Linked DNA regions of Arabidopsis thaliana. The protein of the gene in region 1 interacts with the protein of each later gene in a pairwise test. Each region holds a gene or a part of one and is shown on either strand. Other genes may lie near its edges.

What was found.
Region 2: the proteins of AME3 (region 1) and AT2G29210 interact in a two-hybrid assay, tested with the Arabidopsis thaliana proteins (one large-scale study listed by BioGRID).

What each region holds. Positions count from the first base shown.
Region 1 is NC_003075.7:15,752,553-15,761,514, forward strand, and holds AME3 (Protein kinase superfamily protein), read left to right. Parts: upstream 1-3,465; 5' UTR 3,466-3,843; coding exon 3,844-3,933; intron 3,934-4,090; coding exon 4,091-4,211; intron 4,212-4,440; coding exon 4,441-4,467; exon of another isoform or gene 4,468-4,559; coding exon 4,560-4,713; intron 4,714-4,809; coding exon 4,810-4,858; exon of another isoform or gene 4,859-5,131; coding exon 5,132-5,246; intron 5,247-5,381; coding exon 5,382-5,473; intron 5,474-5,602; coding exon 5,603-5,750; intron 5,751-5,862; coding exon 5,863-5,927; intron 5,928-6,020; coding exon 6,021-6,118; intron 6,119-6,217; coding exon 6,218-6,323; coding exon of another isoform or gene 6,324-6,329; exon of another isoform or gene 6,330-6,344; intron 6,345-6,417; coding exon 6,418-6,555; 3' UTR 6,556-6,762; downstream 6,763-8,962. Other genes in the region: KAT3 (potassium channel protein), read right to left, coding at 10-42, 187-285, 371-610, 703-1,020, 1,123-1,180, 1,289-1,450, 1,544-1,759, 1,986-2,245; AT4G32670 (RING/FYVE/PHD zinc finger superfamily protein), read right to left, coding at 6,975-7,352, 7,428-7,574, 7,654-7,805, 7,884-8,035, 8,109-8,420, 8,502-8,689, 8,764-8,962.
Region 2 is NC_003071.7:12,554,916-12,565,023, forward strand, and holds AT2G29210 (splicing factor PWI domain-containing protein), read left to right. Parts: upstream 1-3,063; 5' UTR 3,064-3,240; coding exon 3,241-3,261; intron 3,262-3,380; coding exon 3,381-3,470; intron 3,471-3,632; coding exon 3,633-3,755; intron 3,756-3,909; coding exon 3,910-4,077; intron 4,078-4,165; coding exon 4,166-4,240; intron 4,241-4,376; coding exon 4,377-4,489; intron 4,490-4,808; coding exon 4,809-4,856; intron 4,857-4,934; coding exon 4,935-4,991; intron 4,992-5,127; coding exon 5,128-6,390; intron 6,391-6,481; coding exon 6,482-6,604; intron 6,605-6,697; coding exon 6,698-7,253; 3' UTR 7,254-7,452; downstream 7,453-10,108. Other genes in the region: AT2G29220 (Concanavalin A-like lectin protein kinase family protein), read right to left, coding at 7,866-9,749.

The DNA.
Region 1 (8,962 bases):
GAGTTTTACCTGTTCACTCACACCCTTGGAAGCAATTATATCCTAAAATTGCAAATTTTCTTTTAATCAGTTGAAGTCAAATATAAATAAGAATGAGTAAACAATCTTTTCGGGATAAATGAATGAGTAAACAATCTTTTCGGGATAAATGAATGAGTATGTAGAGGATATATAGATATATCATACCACTCCTCCAGATACAATTACGTAGAAATCCGTTGGAATCTCATTCTGCAAGATTATCTCCATTTTCGGCGGAAAATATTCTGCTTGTATTTGCGAAACCTACAACAACAACATAGAAGAATGAATTACCACTGCCTTGTTTAACAAGGAACAAAAGAAAATGGAATTGTTGATGGACGATCACCAGCTGGACGAGGAGGCCTTCGGGGAATCCTTTAAAAAGATAAGCTTCTTCGATGATGGAGCGGAATAGATGTTGGTTAATGCTTGATCTTATGGCCTTAGGTAAGTCTTGAAGAACCTCTTCTTGCCTTAACTCCGCGGTCTTGAACTTGAGCTGCATATGTGCAAGCATCTGTTCCCTCATTGTATCCGGTAACCTGTTCTTGCTTGTGTATCGCAATATATCATTGATCGCACTCCTCTGTTCAGCAGAAGAATGATTATTGTACGACTGGTAGAGTAAATGAATGAGTAAACAATCTTTTCGGGTTTAAGCAATGAATGATTATATACCATGGCGAATGTACGAAGAGCGCCATGGACAACTAGATTGGTCATGATACCGATGATATAAGAAGTGAGGCCAATGTTGAAAAGCATGTAGAACATGTTGAATGTCTTCTCACGGCTATTAACTGCATGCAAATCACCGTAACCCACGGTAGTGAGTGTGACAATGGACCAGTACATTGAGTAAGTGTACCCTAACCATACACTTCTTTCCTTAAAATCCTCAACTTGCGATCCTATCCATGTATCCGTAGGCCTTGGATAATGGTAGGCTATCCAGTATAAAATGCAACCCGCCAAATGTATCCAAAATATCGTTACCTGAATCAAATTTCACAATTTGAATAAAAGTCATAGATTGACATAGCCAATTTAGTGATTGTATGGACCACATATAGATAATTCAATATAAGTAAAACTTACACATAGAAGTTTGATGACTCGGATCACGAAATAGTTGAAATGTGCGTCTTTCTCTAGTCTGTTAAAAAAAGAAAGAAAGGAAGTGTAAAATAGACACACACATATGTACTATATGATAAGTGGATTTCAATATTGCATATTATATAGAAAGTAGTAAAGAAAAAACCTTTTAAAGAGTTCGGCTACACGACGGAGACGCCAGAGGCGGAGTAAATTAAGGAAGCCGAAAGCTTGGCCTCGTCCGACATCTCCGGTAATAGTTTTATAAATGAATTGAATGGGTAACGTTGATGCTACGTCCATCACAAAAGCCACGCTCTTCAAGTACCTATAATAATGCACAACATATATAATTCAATTCTAACTTATTCATTTTACTTATGTTATTTTTTTAACATATAAAAACAAATTGATTTGTTACCGTTTGGCGATGAGCTTGTGGTCGGTGACATTGAGGTAAGTAGTATTATCCAAGTAGGAAACAAAAAAGGTGAGGATGATATCAACGGCGAAGAAGAAGTCAACGACGAGATCAATGGTCAATAACGCTCCTTCGGCAGCTTTCTCGAAAGCCAACTCGAACAAAGATGCCCACGCCGAATACCCAACCAATATCACCAAAAACAATTCCCACAACCTACCATTAATTTTTATATGGAAAGATTAAAAAAAAATTAAGATATATGAATATTAATAAGAAATAACAATTTTAAGACGTAAAAATATGAAAATTAATGAACGAATCATTTGATCATTAATTTATGGACTAATAGAAACAGAAAAGTTATGAAATCTGTAAATCACTATTTATTGTTTGATAACCAAAAAACATTTCTTCGTTGTTTAGTTAGTGAGAAATGAACCTGTAACGACGATCAAAGTGAAGAACGATGAAAGGTTTGGAAGAAGGATTATCATCTTCGATGAAAGTCCCAAAAGCAGGCAAGAGACTGCTCGAAACTGACGTTATGTTCCTCACATCTTTGCTCGATCTTCTTCTGAACTGCAGTATCGATAACGGCGATCTTGCTTCCGCCGTCGACGCCGATAACGCCGTCGAAGACCTTCCTCTTCTCAACAACAACGGCAACGGTGATCTCGCCTCAGTAGTCGTCGTAGACATTCTTTTTTCCTTCTTCTTCTTCTCTCTCTTCTTCAAGCTTGATGATATATACTTCCCTCTTTTGTCTCTTTCATTTATACCTTTTTTTTTTAGTTTTGAATTATTAAAGAGGTGTTTAGATGATCAAGAAGGTGGTGAGCAAATTAAGTTGACTTTTTTTTTTACTGGTTTTTGTTTTCCCTATATTTTTTGGAAAAAAAGAATATAACAATACTATAAAACAAATTTACTTAACCATCTAATAAATTATAATTTTTCAAGATTGTAGTATGATGAATTTTACTCTTTATATATTCAACTTTGTTGTTATATATGCAGAAGGCTTCATCGACTTTTTTGACTCTTATTTACGTCTCTGTGTGTATTTAATGTGGCATCAGGTGTAGTGATTACAATCGAGATCTACAATATCAGGGGGATAAGGTTTTTTTTTTTTTTTTTCTTACGATAAATTATGTAATAATTAGCTGTTTAAATACTGGAGTTGAAAAAATTGAGGAACTCAAAAGTCAAATCTTGACGTCTTTTTTGTTGTTGTTATTAAATGAGACCGTGACAGGAATAGTAGTGTTGAAAACAAAACGAACAATAATAAACAAATGAATTACGTATCAATATCTATCATCAGTCAGAATTTAGTATGTTTTTAATACAATCATTTCAGTTTTTTTGAGATAACATATCATATATATATACTTCTTTCCACTTTCCAGTGTTGGATGTGCATGTTTACAATTTTTTTAAAAAATTCTAAGGAAAACAATGTTTTGAAATTCTAAGATACGTTTAGGTAATACATGAAGGGGGATACACTTTGTCTTCGTCCCTTAATTAGCTCCTATGAAGAATTTCACATACACAAATTAAGAAGATGCATGCAATAACAAGGCTAAAGCCATTTCTTAATAGTTCATTTGTACATAAAGTAAGTTTGTGTATGTTAAAAAAAAATTGTGTATGTACTGATGTACAGTATGTTGTTGATTGTTGATACGTAAAACCAAATAGTCAAATACTATACATTTTTACGTTTGCTCGTATAAATTAGGAAACGAAAGCATAATTGTTACGGATAAAAAAACACGAAAATCAATTAATGAAACAAAACCCTTTTGTAAAAAAGCCCATTTTTATGGAAGCCCATTTTGAGATGGACCAGTTAATGAAAAAAAATCCAAGAAACAATGAAACGAACGTTTAAGATCCATGATGGAAATTTGGGCCAAGATTATAAGAAGATCTCACCACATTTCATTTGGGCCGGGTGGGCGAAACATTCCGGGTGATCGTGTAGACCCAATTTTTTCGGTGGAAAGTGCAAAAAAAATGCAATTGGTGGATGTCGTCGCGGTTCGACCCCAAGGGATTTGGCCGGTAAAATTATTGGGAGTTGTCTTTCTCTTGCACTCTCTCTAGTTCCAAACCCTAGCAATTCCTCTGTTTTCACCATTTTCGGAGATTATCACCTTCTCCCCGATTCGCCGCCTTGTGATTACATCTACGTAAAGAGTTTCTGGTAGAAATTTTCCCTCTTTTAGCTGCAGATTGGCATCAGATTCCGTTCTGGATGTGTCGGTGATCGATTTTCCGCGTCGGTGATGATAGCTAACGGATTCGAGAGTATGGATAAAGAACGAGTCAGGAAACGTCCTCGTATGACCTGGGACGAGGCCCCAGCTGAACCAGAGGTTGCTCCTCTTTCTTCTTCTTCTTTTTTTAATTAATCTTTGACATTTAGAACTTCGAATTAGGGTTTAGAATGTGGAGGAAAGACCGAGCATTTATGTTTCTTTGGTGAGATTTTGATATGCTGACAATGAATGAATTTTGACTTTTTTGTGATAGGCTAAAAGGGCTGTGATTAAAGGACATGGAAGCGATGGGAGGATTTTGTCACCACCATTAAGGGACGATGATCGTGATGGTCATTATGTTTTCAGTTTGAGGGACAATCTCACTCCTAGATGTGAGTTTTTGATGGATAAAGTTGCTAACTTTCTATTCTATGTGAGCTAAGATATTTACCTATGTTGCTTCTATATGTGTATTGTTGCTAGTAACTCTTTGTTTTGTTTGGCACCATTGCCTTAGGGATAATCTTTTTTCGCTTTCGTTTCATTGGGATGAGAATCCTTCCTGAACATTTTTAATTGCTTAACTTACGCTATTGTGTGTTCTGTTTTGACTTTTGACAGATAAAATACTTAGCAAGATGGGTGAAGGTTAGCTGTCAAGTGGCATGGTGTGTTCGAGATAAAAAAAATGTTTATGTGAATCAAATCGTGCCATTTCAGTGAACTTGCTGGTGTTGTAGGCACATTTGGTCGGGTTTTGGAATGTTGGGATCGTGATACAAAAGAATATGTGGCAATAAAGATAATTCGAAGCATTAAGAAATACCGGGATGCAGCAATGATTGAAATTGATGTACTTCAGAAACTTGTTAAGAGTGATAAAGGCCGCACACGGTATTTATTTATCTTCTAGACTTTAGTTGATGACATCGTTTCCTTCAGAGGTGTATATCATTGCTCAGTTTCTTCATTTCTGCTTTGTCCTTGCAGCTGTGTACAGATGAAGAACTGGTTTGATTACCGAAATCATATTTGCATTGTAAGTATCCCAACTAAGCTCATTGATTTCCACCACCGTTCAAATGCATCTCTAATATTTAATTGGTTCTATGTTCAGTGACCTGTGAGGTTTGTTAGTGTTACAAATGAATGAATCATAATATTTCTGGCTACCTTTCTTTGTTTGATGCCCAAGTGACAGAAATCCAATTCCGTGTATAGTGTTTGTGTAGTTTGTTTACTCATGTGGATTTTTTCGAAGTTTGGAACTAAACGGAACCTTCCTGTGAATGAACTCTAATGGTGATACCAGGTGTTCGAGAAGCTTGGGCCAAGTTTGTTTGACTTTCTAAAGAGAAATAAATACTCCGCATTTCCTCTGGCCCTTGTTCGGGATTTTGGATGCCAGCTTTTGGAATCTGTAGCATGTCTGTGAATTGTTCCTATCTGCTGCTATTTTATACAATTATCGTACCTAGCACGTCACCTTTATGTCCCGGTTCAGCAGCTGTAGTTCCTACCTAATGCCTCTCTGTTCTTAACATAATCTTCCTTGTCTACAGATATGCACGAGTTACAGTTAGTTCACACCGACCTCAAGCCTGAGAACATTCTGTTGGTGTCTTCTGAAAATGTAAAGCTTCCTGACAATAAGGTATCTAGAACTGAAATAGGTTAAGGTTGGGTTTGGGTACACTCTCTGTAGTTAAAGTTTTGAAAGAAAAAGAAAAATCTTCAAGAGTTTGTACTTTTTGACAGTTTGGTATTTGATTTTAAATAACAGAGGAGTGCTGCAAATGAGACACATTTCAGGTGCTTACCAAAGTCAAGCGCCATTAAACTGATTGATTTTGGCAGTACTGTTTGTGATAACCGGATTCATCACTCCATTGTCCAAACAAGACATTACAGATCCCCCGAGGTCATTTTAGGTAGGCTAATCAGTTACTTGCTCGTCAATAGATGCTTGTGGATTCCGTAGCTGATGCTTAACGAATGAACATAATTTTTCCCTGGTAACTAATCAGTGGCATATCATTGCAGGTCTAGGATGGAGTTACCAGTGTGACTTATGGAGTATAGGTTGTATACTATTTGAACTATGCACGGTAAAGTCTCTTCATTTTGTTGTATGAATTCTTATCTCCATGTTTATTAGTTGTTTTACTTACTATTGTCAACATTTTCAAACTGTCCATCAGGGTGAGGCTCTCTTTCAGACGCATGATAACCTAGAACATCTAGCTATGATGGAGAGGGCGCTTGGACCTTTACCTGAACATATGACTCGAAAAGCCAGGTTACTTTTCTGTTTCCACAAACATTTGGGTGCGTAAAAAGTCCACAGAGATATAAATGCTCATCGGTTGTTGCATGTATGGTCGTTATGTTTTTGTAGCCGGGGTGCTGAGAAATATTTCAGGAGAGGGTGTCGGTTGAATTGGCCAGAAGGAGCCAACTCTAGAGAAAGTATTAGGGCTGTAAAAAGACTTGATCGTCTCAAGGTTTAATCACCATTAATTCTTGTTAGTGTCTAATGATATATCTTTTGTTTAATATGCCGTAATCTGAAGTAGAAACTGCTTACAATTCTTGCAGGATATGGTATCGAAACATGTTGACAACACGAGATCTAGATTTGCAGATCTATTGTATGGTTTATTGGCATATGATCCATCTGAGCGTCTCACAGCAAACGAAGCTCTTGACCATCCTTTCTTTAAGAGCTCAAGTTGAGAAGAAGCAAAATCAGAACCATAAAATGTAGAATTTTACTTGGTAACAAGTTTTTTTGTTAGATTCCTCTAAAGCTCCCGTTCTCAGTAGCACCAAACAGTAGTATTCCTATTTCAGTTACGAGTTTGGCTACGTTTATTCTGGAAAATACCTCTGTTGTACATTGTGTTGTTGAGAATATAAAACTTGCATCATATTTTGAAACTAATCAATCGTGTAAATTGCATATCATAAGCAAAATCTACACATTGCACCATCCATTATCATATTAATGAAACTTAAGATGCCCCAAGGACTCGATGATTCTCAATCTTAAGTGAAGAAGACTGTTTCACTTTCACCCACCAAGAAACTGTATATGTACTTATAATTGAAGACTAGGTACATTCTCTATTAATAACCATTGGTTTTGGTCGTTGTTACTCGAGATCTTCAGTGAAATCGACCAGCCTCTCGCCCACTTTGTATCGATTATCGAATTCCAGCTTGTGAAGGTAGAGGATAAGATCACGAATGAGCTTGACACTAAACCATATGGGGATTAAGGCAAGGATCGCCGGCCAAATGAACCGCTGGACGGTTAAGTTGACTGCACTGGAAAATCCAAGAATTGGGAACAGAGAGTTTACCACCACGTAGGGAACGCAGAGAGTGAATAAAAGGGACACTATGATCGAACCAATAACATCTCGAATCAGCCACGTAAAGGGAAGTCGGTTGATTGTAACGCTTCTGATTCTTTGAAGCTTTTCCCGCCAGGCCACAGTTGCAAAACAGTTGATCCGTGTGAGCATAGTCTGCGAGAGAAGAAAGCAGTTACAATAACGAGTTCTTGATTGAAGCAATAATGATGGACAGACGTTTCATCTTACCAGAAAGATCCAGATGTGTAGGACGACTACACCGATCAACCAATCGTGGAGCAAGTTATATACTGGGGATTCACCTAGCGGAACTTGTGATGGGATGATGATCATAAGGTCGATAAGGAGACCGAGCACTCCCGGTATGACAGAGATCTGTTCACAGCAAAACATCATGATTCAAAAATTCATAATATTCAGACGTTTTCAGTGAAAGAGTTTTGGGATTTCTTACCCATATGGAGAATAACAAGACATTCCGTATGAACATCAGGACATGGTTGAGAAGCAAATCGGTTCTTCCCGTTATGAAATGATCATAGACAAAGCAAGTGATGATATAGATTCCTCGCAGGATACAGAATCCAATCCAGAAAGCACAAAGATCTAAAATGATTGGTTTTAAAATTAGAAGCATAATACAAAGGAGAAAGACGTGTGAAGCAAGATTAAGAAAGTACAAACCGTCGTGTTTGAGTCCGAAACTTAGCATGAAGAAAGAGATAGAGTGGAAAAACGCCCTTCCCACTAGAATTGGTAAAGCCATGAAGGTTGTACTAACAAGAAACATACTCAGAGAAGCAAGAATCAACATCACTCCAATCCTCACCATAAACCTGAGACTTCAACTTATCAGAATATAGATTTTGCGAAGGAAGTTATCTCTATTAAAAGCATGTTAACTACTACCTTTTATCTCTTTGCTCGTTTGTATCCTTTTCACAGGTGGTATCGCTTTGAGATCCATGCAAACTGACCATAGAGCCTTCAGCTATGCCAAATACTAGACACCGAAGTCTCATATTATGATTTGCACGGTGTTTTCGGGGCTCTCCAAGCAAGAAATCACTCAACTTGAGCAAAGAACTGATAGTGATAACCCACTTGTGAACTATGGGTCTGATGGATGGTCTAATTAAATTGGCTAACCACCGGGGACCGAATATTACTAGGCACATATAAGCAACAAGTAAGCCAAACACAAACTCATCCTCGTACACCCTGCATATCCCTTATTAGGCACATTTTGTTCAAGAATCGAGAAATTAGAAACATTATGTGGTAAGGTCCAGAGGAGCTTACCCAAATTGGAGAGGGAAAAAGGACTGGCTGATGAGACTGATTGTTTTTATTGGTAAGTGAAGCACAATCACCACCATTGTCCCATGCAAAGCAAACGCCAAGAGAATGGGACCAAGATGCAGTTTGGTGACTTTGTAGTTTGGTTCTGCAACATCTAGCAGATACCATAAGGCTCGTTTCTGAACTATCTGCCAAAAGAAAGAAGAGAAAGTGGAGTAAACTAGATGATGCGTGAGAACTGAACAAAAAGTTCAAATTTTACCTTTTGGATAAGCTCCATGCAACTTAAAGCAGATACCAAGTACAACGTTCCCATTAACCAATGTTTGTCAGCCATGAGTGGATAGTCTGAAAGAACCTCAACGGTGTGGGAAGCTGTCTTTCCCAGTATAGGGAAAGTGCAGAAATGTAGCCAGCAACCAAGTAACCAAGGCAGAACACCGAGTTTAAAAGACAAGATG
Region 2 (10,108 bases), on another chromosome or scaffold:
CCAGAACCAAATATTTAGAATTATTCTATTGGATAGTAAATCATATACCCATTAATCCCAAACCCGAACGGGTTCTACCAGAACTCGAATGGGTTACTCGTATGCCCAACCCTATTCTCTGATTTAATTATCTAAAAACTCCCAAAAAAAACATATGTTTTGCTGACTACTTTTTATTCAAAAAAATGTACATCCTCTTCTACCAAAATCATTTCATAAGACATCCCAAAACCCTTGGAATAATGATTTTATGAATGAAGAATCCTAATTTGTATATACCAAGAGGTTTTAAAAAGTTTTAAGTTTTTATTTCTAATGGCATACCTATGTAATTACTTACAAAAAATAAGGTTACATTTAAAATGCTTATTTATAATTTTTGATAAGTGTGTATGTGAGAAGGTACGGACATCGTGATGGTAATCTGCTTATTTATAATTTTAACTTGCAGTATACCACATGTAGGCTTATATTTTATTTAAACTAAAAATTTTTATTGTAAAGATGATTATAAATATATGATATTATTTTATTTGATTTTAAATGTATAGTAAACTGCGAGTTGTATATGTTTTGTTGATATTATTTATATTGTTTAGTGTTTAAAATTATACACTTGTATTTTGATTGTTAATTTTAGAGTTTCACATGTAGTATACCATCTTGTATTAATATCGATTTAAACCCGTCAATTCTAGGATTTTCTATCTTGTATTAAAAATTGAATCACATCATACACATAAAAAAATCTAATATGTTATTAATTATTGTAGTATATAAGATTATAAATTTTTAAAATAATATGTATGAAATTGAATATAAATATTCAAATTATGACCCAGTATTCAGTAGAAAATTTTCTTAAATCTATTTTTGACCCGTTATAATATTTTTTCATGTATTGAACAGTTTATATTAGTTTTTAAAAATTCAAATTATGGCATATGCGAAAAAACTCTAATTATTTTTTTATAACGATGATATTATTTTTTCGCCAAAATAGAATCATATAAAGATGAGAGGTGAACTATAATAATTAATAAAAAATTAATATGATAATTTAGATATCAAATCTAATTTGTTGATTTTAATTGGTTACTTTTTTGGAAATTAATAATGTATTTTGTTTTTTAATTAAATTTAATTAATTAAATTAGTATTTGACTTAATTATTAAAGAGATGAATTAATTTACTCTTTAAATTTTATTTCTAATGGCATACTTATGTAATTACTTACAAAAAATAAGGTTATATTTAAAATGTACTTCCTAAATAATATAGTAGGATTTCTTAATTAGGAAAATGACAAAAAAATATTATATTTACCTCTTAACTTTTGAGATTTTATTTAAATTTATGAAAGTTTTGCTTTTTTTTCAGCGGAGATGTTAGGCGAAACTTACATTATTTTCTTGTCAGCAAAGATTTGGTGAATTCGTTAATTCGATGATGATAACGTTAGTGACGGTTGCAAAAATGTTTCTGTTTTTACGGTTTTTTGATTCATGTAGAGGCAAAGTTTGTTTGTAATTGGAAAGAAAAAATAAATTAAATAACGAATCTTAAAAAGTCTTCCAAGTTGATTTTTTTCTTTACTGACATAAATTTTGCTTTATATATCATACAAATACGTCAAAGTCCATAATTTCGATGATGGTGATGACAAAAGAAAATATGTTATTATCTTTTGCATGACATGCCCTCATATATGAAACTGAAACACAGAGTTATGAGCTCATCTATATATACATTTTTGCTGCTACTTTGTGAAATAAATACTGGAGTTGGGATTTATTTACAACGGCTGCCACTGGCATTTAATAATTGTTTTTGATAATTAGAAAGAAAATCTTCTAATTAAATATTTGACATTTAACAATCTTCCCAAAATCTCTCAACCTTAACTACACGATTAATTACTAAAATAAAACTTCTAAAATATTTAATATCATTTAATTACTACAAAATTATCATTTTTGATATTGCTTTTCTGCATGATTATAATCATCAAACCGTAGAGATATTTGATAGCATTTAATTACTACAAAATTACAAAATATTTAGACAATAATTCATAAACATATCATAAATAAAATCAACATTAATAAAATAAATGAGTTTTTTTTAGAGGACGGGTTGGCGGGACGAGTTTGGCAGGACGTTATTTAATAACAATTGTAAACTATACAATAAAAATATTTTATAGATAGATAAAATTTACAAACTTTTATATATATTAATTAAAAAAATAAATTGTTTCCGCGGTGTACTGCGGGTTAAAATCTAGTCTAATACAATATTAGAGATAACTATAGTCATTGCTCTCATTTTTCCATTTGCATACTTATATGTTCTCAATTCTCATACCTACCTTATATTGTGTGCCCATACACCTTCCATGCGCACTTGTTGTCCACACAAATTACGATCAAACAACTGTTATATAGTTTCCACCCACACTTTCACCTATGGTTTAAGAAACATAAGTTACTCTAATGTAGTAGGACGAGTTGACCAAACCTAACTCCTTCATTTTGTTGCACCAACCCATATTTTTACCGAGTAATGCACACCCCAAAACTTATAATCATAGTCATCTTCCTTTCACGTCCCATAAGGTTCACATTGATTACTCTAATCTATTTCACTTTCAAGATTACCACCACATGTAACTTTTCCATTCCTTTTCCACATTTATCTCTTAAACCTCAAACACTTTCAAGTTTCATCTTCTCTCTCTCTTATTAACTTCATCTACCAACCCTACTTAACCTAAAACCATTTTCAATTGCTTAATCAGTCCACACAATGCACATAAATTTCCGTGACCACACTGTTCGTTTTAGAAGAAAAAAACCACTTCCAAAATTGCATATGTACCAATAAGATAAAATGTTTTACTCATTCAAATAGACCTACGAGATTAATTAAGACTAGGTTTGCTTTGGGCTAAAACTGGCCCATAAGCTATGGCAATTGAAACCAATCAGATTACAAAAAAGGCTTGTCAAGAAGATGAGACCGAACATGTTCCAATAAATGGCAATAACGTAATTCTCAAAACCTCTGAGGGTAACAATGGAAAAACAAAATGAAGTGAGTCCGATATAGCTAGGGCTCGTTAAAAACTCTTCAAAATCTCTGTGGAAGCCCCATTTTCACATCTAAATCTCACAAATCTCTCTCAAGCTTCGATCTTTCTTCTAGAGACGAGCTAGTGCTTCCACAAACCCTAAACTATGTCCGGCGGTTTCTTCCGGGTTAGTTTTCCGATCAATTTTCTCAATTGATCTCTCATCTTTTAGATCCAGATCGATGCAATTCAAAAGTTTTGTTGAAGTTCCCATGGTTTAATAACTTCTTTGTTTTGAGCTTTTAGGGTACTTCCGCCGAGCAGGATACTCGGTTTTCTAACAAGCAAGCTAAATTGATGAAAAGCCAGAAATTTGCTCCGGAGTTAGAGAATCTGGTGAGTTTTCTCTTTGTGTACTCGTCCATTTTAACGATTTGTGAATTCGTAGCTTGAATTTACTTAATTGAGATTCGATTACCAGATAATTCGATACATATGTTACTATGAAATTAAGTTTGGGGAGGGCTTAATGATGTCTTCTACTTGCCTTGGTGTTAGGTGGATATCACTAAAGTGAAGATGGATGTTATGAAACCTTGGATTGCGACTAGAGTCACTGAGCTTCTTGGTATTGAAGATGAAGTGCTGATTAACTTTATCTATGGTCTGCTTGACGGGAAGGTAAGCTCATTACTGAGATTTTATTTTTCTGAGCTTTTTATTCGACTGTTAATAAGTGACAGAGGGGTAGTATGATTTCGTAGCCCATGCCATTGATACAAGTGATTTTTTTTTGTTGGACTAATATGTAATTGAACGTTCACTATGTATGTAGGTAGTGAATGGTAAGGAGATTCAGATAACGCTAACTGGATTCATGGAGAAAAATACTGGCAAATTTATGAAAGAACTTTGGACACTTCTTCTAAGCGCACAGAATAATCCAAGTGGTGTTCCACAGCAGTTTTTAGATGCTAGAGCTGCTGAAACAAAGAAGAAACAGGTATTCTTGGGAACTCATTCTGAAGTTAGTTTGGTGAACGACTTGTCTCTGTCCTACTGTTTCATGATTATTATCCTTTATGTGGCAGGAAGAAGCAAATGAAATAATGAAGAAGAGGGAGGGAGATAAGAAGAACATTGAGCACGATATATTGAGGAAAATAGTAAGACGTTCTTATTCATGCTAGAGTTTCAGCTTTAGAGATGCTCTTCTGGTTTTAACATTCGCCTGTTCTTTCATGTTATTCAGATAGCTTCTGCAATTATTAGGGTTCATGTGCTTTACCTCAACTACTGTAGGACAGCGGTGTAGAACATAAGGAGACAAATGGCATGGATGCAAAACCTTCAAGAGATCGTCCAGAGGATGGGAGAAGGGCTGACGAGAAGAATGGTGTAAAAGAAAGGAGAAGGTAGAGTTCTCTTAATGCCTATGATTTCATAGCTACTCTCTACTCATCGCTGTATTCCCTTGTGTACTTTATTATTGATTGAGTTCATCCTTCTAGTCTACTCATAACTTTGTACGTTGATTTTCTCTATAAGAACTCGTGGGCATGAGTTGTTCAAGTATTTCTATAAATGACTGTTCTGGGTCTTCTAGTCTTTTAGCATTTTTAGGTATGCTACTGGTACTTTGCATGTGCATTTGGTTTGCTGGTGGTCCAGGAATTTGTTTGTGGCCAAGATTATTATGTAAGTGGGTTCTGACATTGCCTCCACTTGATGCAGGGATCTGATACCTCCACGTCGCGGAGATGCATCCCGCTCACCCCTTAGGTGACTCTTCAATAGTTTTGTTTTTTCTAATACAATTTGCTTATATGTGCAAGTATATATTGATTGGTTGCTTTACAGAGGGTCACGTTCTAGGTCAATCAGCAAAACAAATTCAGGCTCGAAAAGTTATTCTGGGTATGTAGCCTTCTGCAATTGTTTTTCTTAATCCAAAGAAATTGTAGCCTGTGATGTGTAGCTAGCTAGTTCTGTATCTATTATTTTCTGTAAATCCTAGTGCAGTTTTTGCTAATGCTGTCTACTTTTATAACAGCGAACGGAAATCCAGGAGCACATCTCAATCATCAGATGCCTCCATCTCACCTAGAAAGCGAAGATTGTCGAATTCAAGACGTAGATCCAGATCACGTTCCGTGCGTAGGTCTCTGTCTCCTCGGCGACGTAGGATACACTCTCCTTTCAGAAGCAGGTCGCGGTCACCTATTAGACGTCACAGGCGACCTACGCATGAGGGACGCCGTCAATCACCAGCCCCTTCAAGACGTCGCCGTTCTCCATCCCCACCTGCTAGACGGCGCAGGTCACCATCCCCACCTGCTAGACGGCGCAGGTCACCATCACCACCTGCTAGACGGCACAGGTCTCCAACACCACCTGCAAGGCAGCGCAGGTCACCATCGCCCCCTGCTAGGCGTCACCGTTCTCCACCGCCAGCTAGGCGGCGTAGGTCTCCTTCACCGCCAGCTAGGCGGCGTAGGTCTCCTTCACCGCCAGCTAGGCGGCGTAGGTCTCCATCTCCACTCTACAGGCGTAACAGGTCTCCATCTCCACTCTATAGGCGTAACAGGTCACGGTCACCGCTGGCTAAGCGGGGAAGGTCTGACTCACCAGGGAGGTCTCCGTCACCAGTGGCTAGGCTCAGGGATCCCACTGGGGCAAGATTGCCTTCACCATCCATTGAGCAAAGATTGCCTTCACCACCCGTTGCACAAAGGTTGCCTTCACCACCCCCTAGGCGTGCAGGATTACCTTCACCACCCCCTGCGCAAAGGTTGCCTTCACCACCCCCTAGGCGTGCAGGATTACCTTCACCAATGAGGATTGGAGGATCTCATGCAGCCAATCACCTGGAATCACCATCACCCAGCTCATTGTCCCCTCCTGGTAGGAAAAAAGTGTTACCATCTCCACCTGTTAGAAGACGCAGGTCACTGACACCTGACGAAGAGCGAGTCTCCCTGTCACAAGGTGGACGCCATACTTCCCCTTCACATATCAAGCAAGATGGATCTATGTCACCTGTTAGGGGTCGAGGTAAATCTTCTCCTTCATCTCGACATCAGAAAGCGCGCTCTCCTGTTCGGCGCAGATCACCAACACCTGTCAACCGGCGAAGTCGAAGATCTTCATCTGCTTCACGATCACCTGATAGACGCAGGAGACGGTCTCCATCTTCGAGCAGATCTCCTTCTAGGTCGCGATCACCTCCTGTTCTTCATAGATCTCCTTCTCCACGTGGAAGAAAACATCAGAGAGAGAGAAGATCTCCTGGGCGTCTATCTGAAGAACAAGATAGGTATGGTCTTCATGACTCCATTTACTATAATCTTCTTCTTATCTGTACTTGTTAACTCCTTGACCCTCTGTCTGCTTTCGCATTGTGACAGGGTTCAAAATTCCAAGCTGTTAAAGAGAACTTCAGTGCCTGATACTGACAAGAGGAAACAATTACCAGAGAAGTTGCTAGAAGTTGGGCGTGTAGAACATTATAAGGAGCAGGAGAGAAAGAGGTGCATTTTGTTTCTTTTCATTTTCCAAATGATTTTCGTTTGACTTCAAATATCAAGGTCTGATAAATGTTGGTCTATTCAACTTCTTAACAGTGATAAGTTGTCAGAGAAGCGATCTGTTCACAGACACCATGGTTCACAGATGTCCCCAGTAGAAAATTCAGAAGGAAGGAGTCGGCCTGTTTCTAGTAAAGTGAAAGACAGTGAGCAGGTTGAGAAAGAGGATAACAGCGACCTGGATGCAAACCTTTCCTGTGATTCTAAGGATACCATCAGACATCAAATTAAGGATAAAAATAGAAGAAAGAATAAAAGGTCTTCAAGGGAAGAAGTATCTTCAGATGATAATGGCAGTTCTGATTCCGACGTAGATGATAGGAAGGAGGCTAAAAGGAGGAGGAAGGAGGAGAAGAAAACGAGAAAGGAGGAGAAGAAACGTAGGCGAGAGGAGAGACATCGTAAAAGGGAAGAACGTCGTGGTGGAAAGGAGAAGCATAAGAAACAAGAGCTTTCTGATACTTCAGAAGGTGAAGTTGAGGCCCGTCCTAAGATTAAAAAAGGGGAGGAATCTGATCCAAAGAGGCTTGAAATTGAGTTGCGAAACAAAGCACTCGAGTCATTGAAAGCAAAGAAGGGCATTAGCCACTAAGTCCCTTGTCCAGCGTTATTTGAACATCATCTTTTATGATACTATCCCTTGCTAGATTTATGAACATCATCTTATGTTGTGTTTTTTCTTACATGTTCCAAACTTTCTTATGTGGTCTGTTTGTTGGTGGCAGCAAAATTGGACAAGTGACAATTATGATAGCAAAATTGGACAAGTGACAATTATGATAGCAAAATTGTTTCTTGCATTGGGTGGTCCCTTTATGTTAACATAAGCTTTAAAAAACCATTTAGGTTAATATAAGCTAACAAAAAAAACCCAAGAGATGTTTTCATGGAAAATATTCCTGTATATGATGAAGTCATGATATAAGTTTCGTAGCTATGTATCCTAAACTGACATAACAAAATATCATTTAGATTTTAAATAGATCAAAGATATATTTTGTAATGATCATTTTCCCAGAAGAGTAGGATCAGATTGTCCTAACAACAAGAAAATATTTCTCAAAACCAGAAATTCTTATTTTCAAATTTACAAATGGAGTAAAATACAATTATAGGCTTTATTCACATCATCATGCTTAATGCATCTTCGTCCAATCTTGAAATCACACAATTCAAAATACAGACACGTTTGTGAGATCACTTTTTAGACTCCATAGAAGAGGTAGTCATCATGAGGGAGAGCTTCAGTTCCTTCGAGATACCGAAACACATTTTTCATCATTGGCCTTGATTCTGGAGATCGGTTGGCGCAGAGAAGTCCTGTTTTCAGAACCAATAATACTTCTCGAGCTACCAAATTCTCTCTATTGATTCTTGTGTCGCAGCTCATTAACAGATCACCTTTCTTGAACCCTTGAAGCACCCAGTTCACCAAACTTATCTCTTCTGGTGCTTTAGTCGGCTCTATGGCCTTCCTTCCACAAACGATCTCCATCATCAACACTCCAAACGCAAACACATCTGTGTCACGTGTTACCTTTCCCGTGTTGACTAGTTCTGGTGCAACGTGCCCTGTGGTGCTGTGTCTGCTTCCTTGTCCATAGTCGCCTAGTCGAGCGTTTAGCTCTTCGTCTAAGAGTACGTTGCTTGCTTTTACGTTTCCATGAATCAAAGGTTTTTGACCTTCACCGTGAAGGTGTTGAAGTGCTGCTGCAATCCCCTTTATTATACAGAACCGATCTGACCAGGTGAGAACTGGTCGGTCGTTGTTGAACAAGAACCGGTCTAGGCTTCCATTGGGGACATACTCGTAAACAAGATAGATATCTTTTCCTTTGCTGCAGTAACCATGTAGATTGACTAGGTTTCGTTGTTTAATCTTGGAGATCGCATCGATCTCGGCTATTAGGGTTGTCTTTTGTTGCCTTGTGGTGCAAGTAATCTTCTTTACGGCAATTATCTCTGTGGGAGCAAGCTGTCCTTTGTAGAAACTTCCAGAGTTTCTCTCTCCCAAGAGTTTAGAATTGTCGAAACCTCCCGTTGCGTTCGATATCGTCTGGTAGGAGAATTTCCTTGCACCTCCGATGAAGAATATTTTGTCTCTACGTAAGAACCAAAATCCTGAGAAGATTAGGATCATGAGTGCAACCGTTGCTGATGCAGCGACGATTATGATCAGCATCGTGTTGTTCGACTTCTTCTCGGTTGAAACCGGAGGACTTGGGGATGGAGACAATGTTGGTGGCGGATCTGGGAGAGAAGGAAGCTTCGTGATATCAAAGTCTGATTCTTTCCCTTCGATGTTGAAGCTCCAACCTAGAACAAAATGTGAGCTCGCTACAGTCCCCGTGGACGCAGAGAATCCAACGTGATGTTCTTGGGAGAAAATCCCTGAAAGATTCATTTTTCTCGAGAGAAGAGGTATACTTGGCTTCGGACGATCTAGAGGAGCCAATGTGACATTAAGCATTGTCTCAGTGGCGTTGTATTCGATCCAGACTCTTACTGGTTTCCCACTCGCCAGCCTCAAGCTTATGTTCTTGGCCTCTCGGTCATCAAAATATGCAGCCGGTGCAGACGCAATGGAGATCACTCCATTTAGGTCGATGCCTACGTGGTTATCGTCAATATCATTCAACTCAACCGCTTGCACGGTGTCAAATTCAATTGCAAGAATTCGATTCAAGGAGTTTCCATTGTTGGAGGTGTTGAAGAGGCCCAGATAATTGCTGGGAAAAGCACCACTGAAGTCCATCGAGGGTGAAATGACGAAAGCTAGGCCATGGCCTGGTGCGCCGGTTCCTTGAGTGATGGCGAAGATGAAGCTTGTGGAAAAAGAAACCGAATTTGTTGAGTTAGGGTTTGACAAGGGGATGGGAAAGCCATGAAAAGCTTGACCTATCTGCCTCATCGAAGTGTTTGTCAACTCCAAGAGGCCACTTGGGTAGACCTTGGAGGAGCCGAAGTTGAGGAGATTAGCCCCGAGGAAGCCATGGTTAAGAAACTTGGTCTCTCGTTGACTTGAGACACAAGAAACAAAATATGATAGGAAGATTATCGTTAGAGCTATAGATTTGAAGGTAATCATCGTTGATGAGTTTTTAGAGTTTGAAGTTACTTATCTGTTAATTGCTATCCATTTTATAGCTTCAAAAACTCTTGACCATTACATATTCAAACCATTTTGTTGTTTATACTAAGAAGTTATACAACTTAAGTTGAGTATTTGACTTTCAATGAATTGCTAAACAAACCTTTTTCTTATTGTCCTTGAAAATTTCATTCGGACTTTCCTCAAATATTCTTCTCTAATATAAAAAATTGGATGAACATTCCTTGAAACTGCTAAACAATGAACTTTAAATGTTAATATTCATATTAAAAACTAACCAAAATAAAGGATAAACTATCAAAATAATAATTCAAAGTGAAAACGAAGAAAAAGAA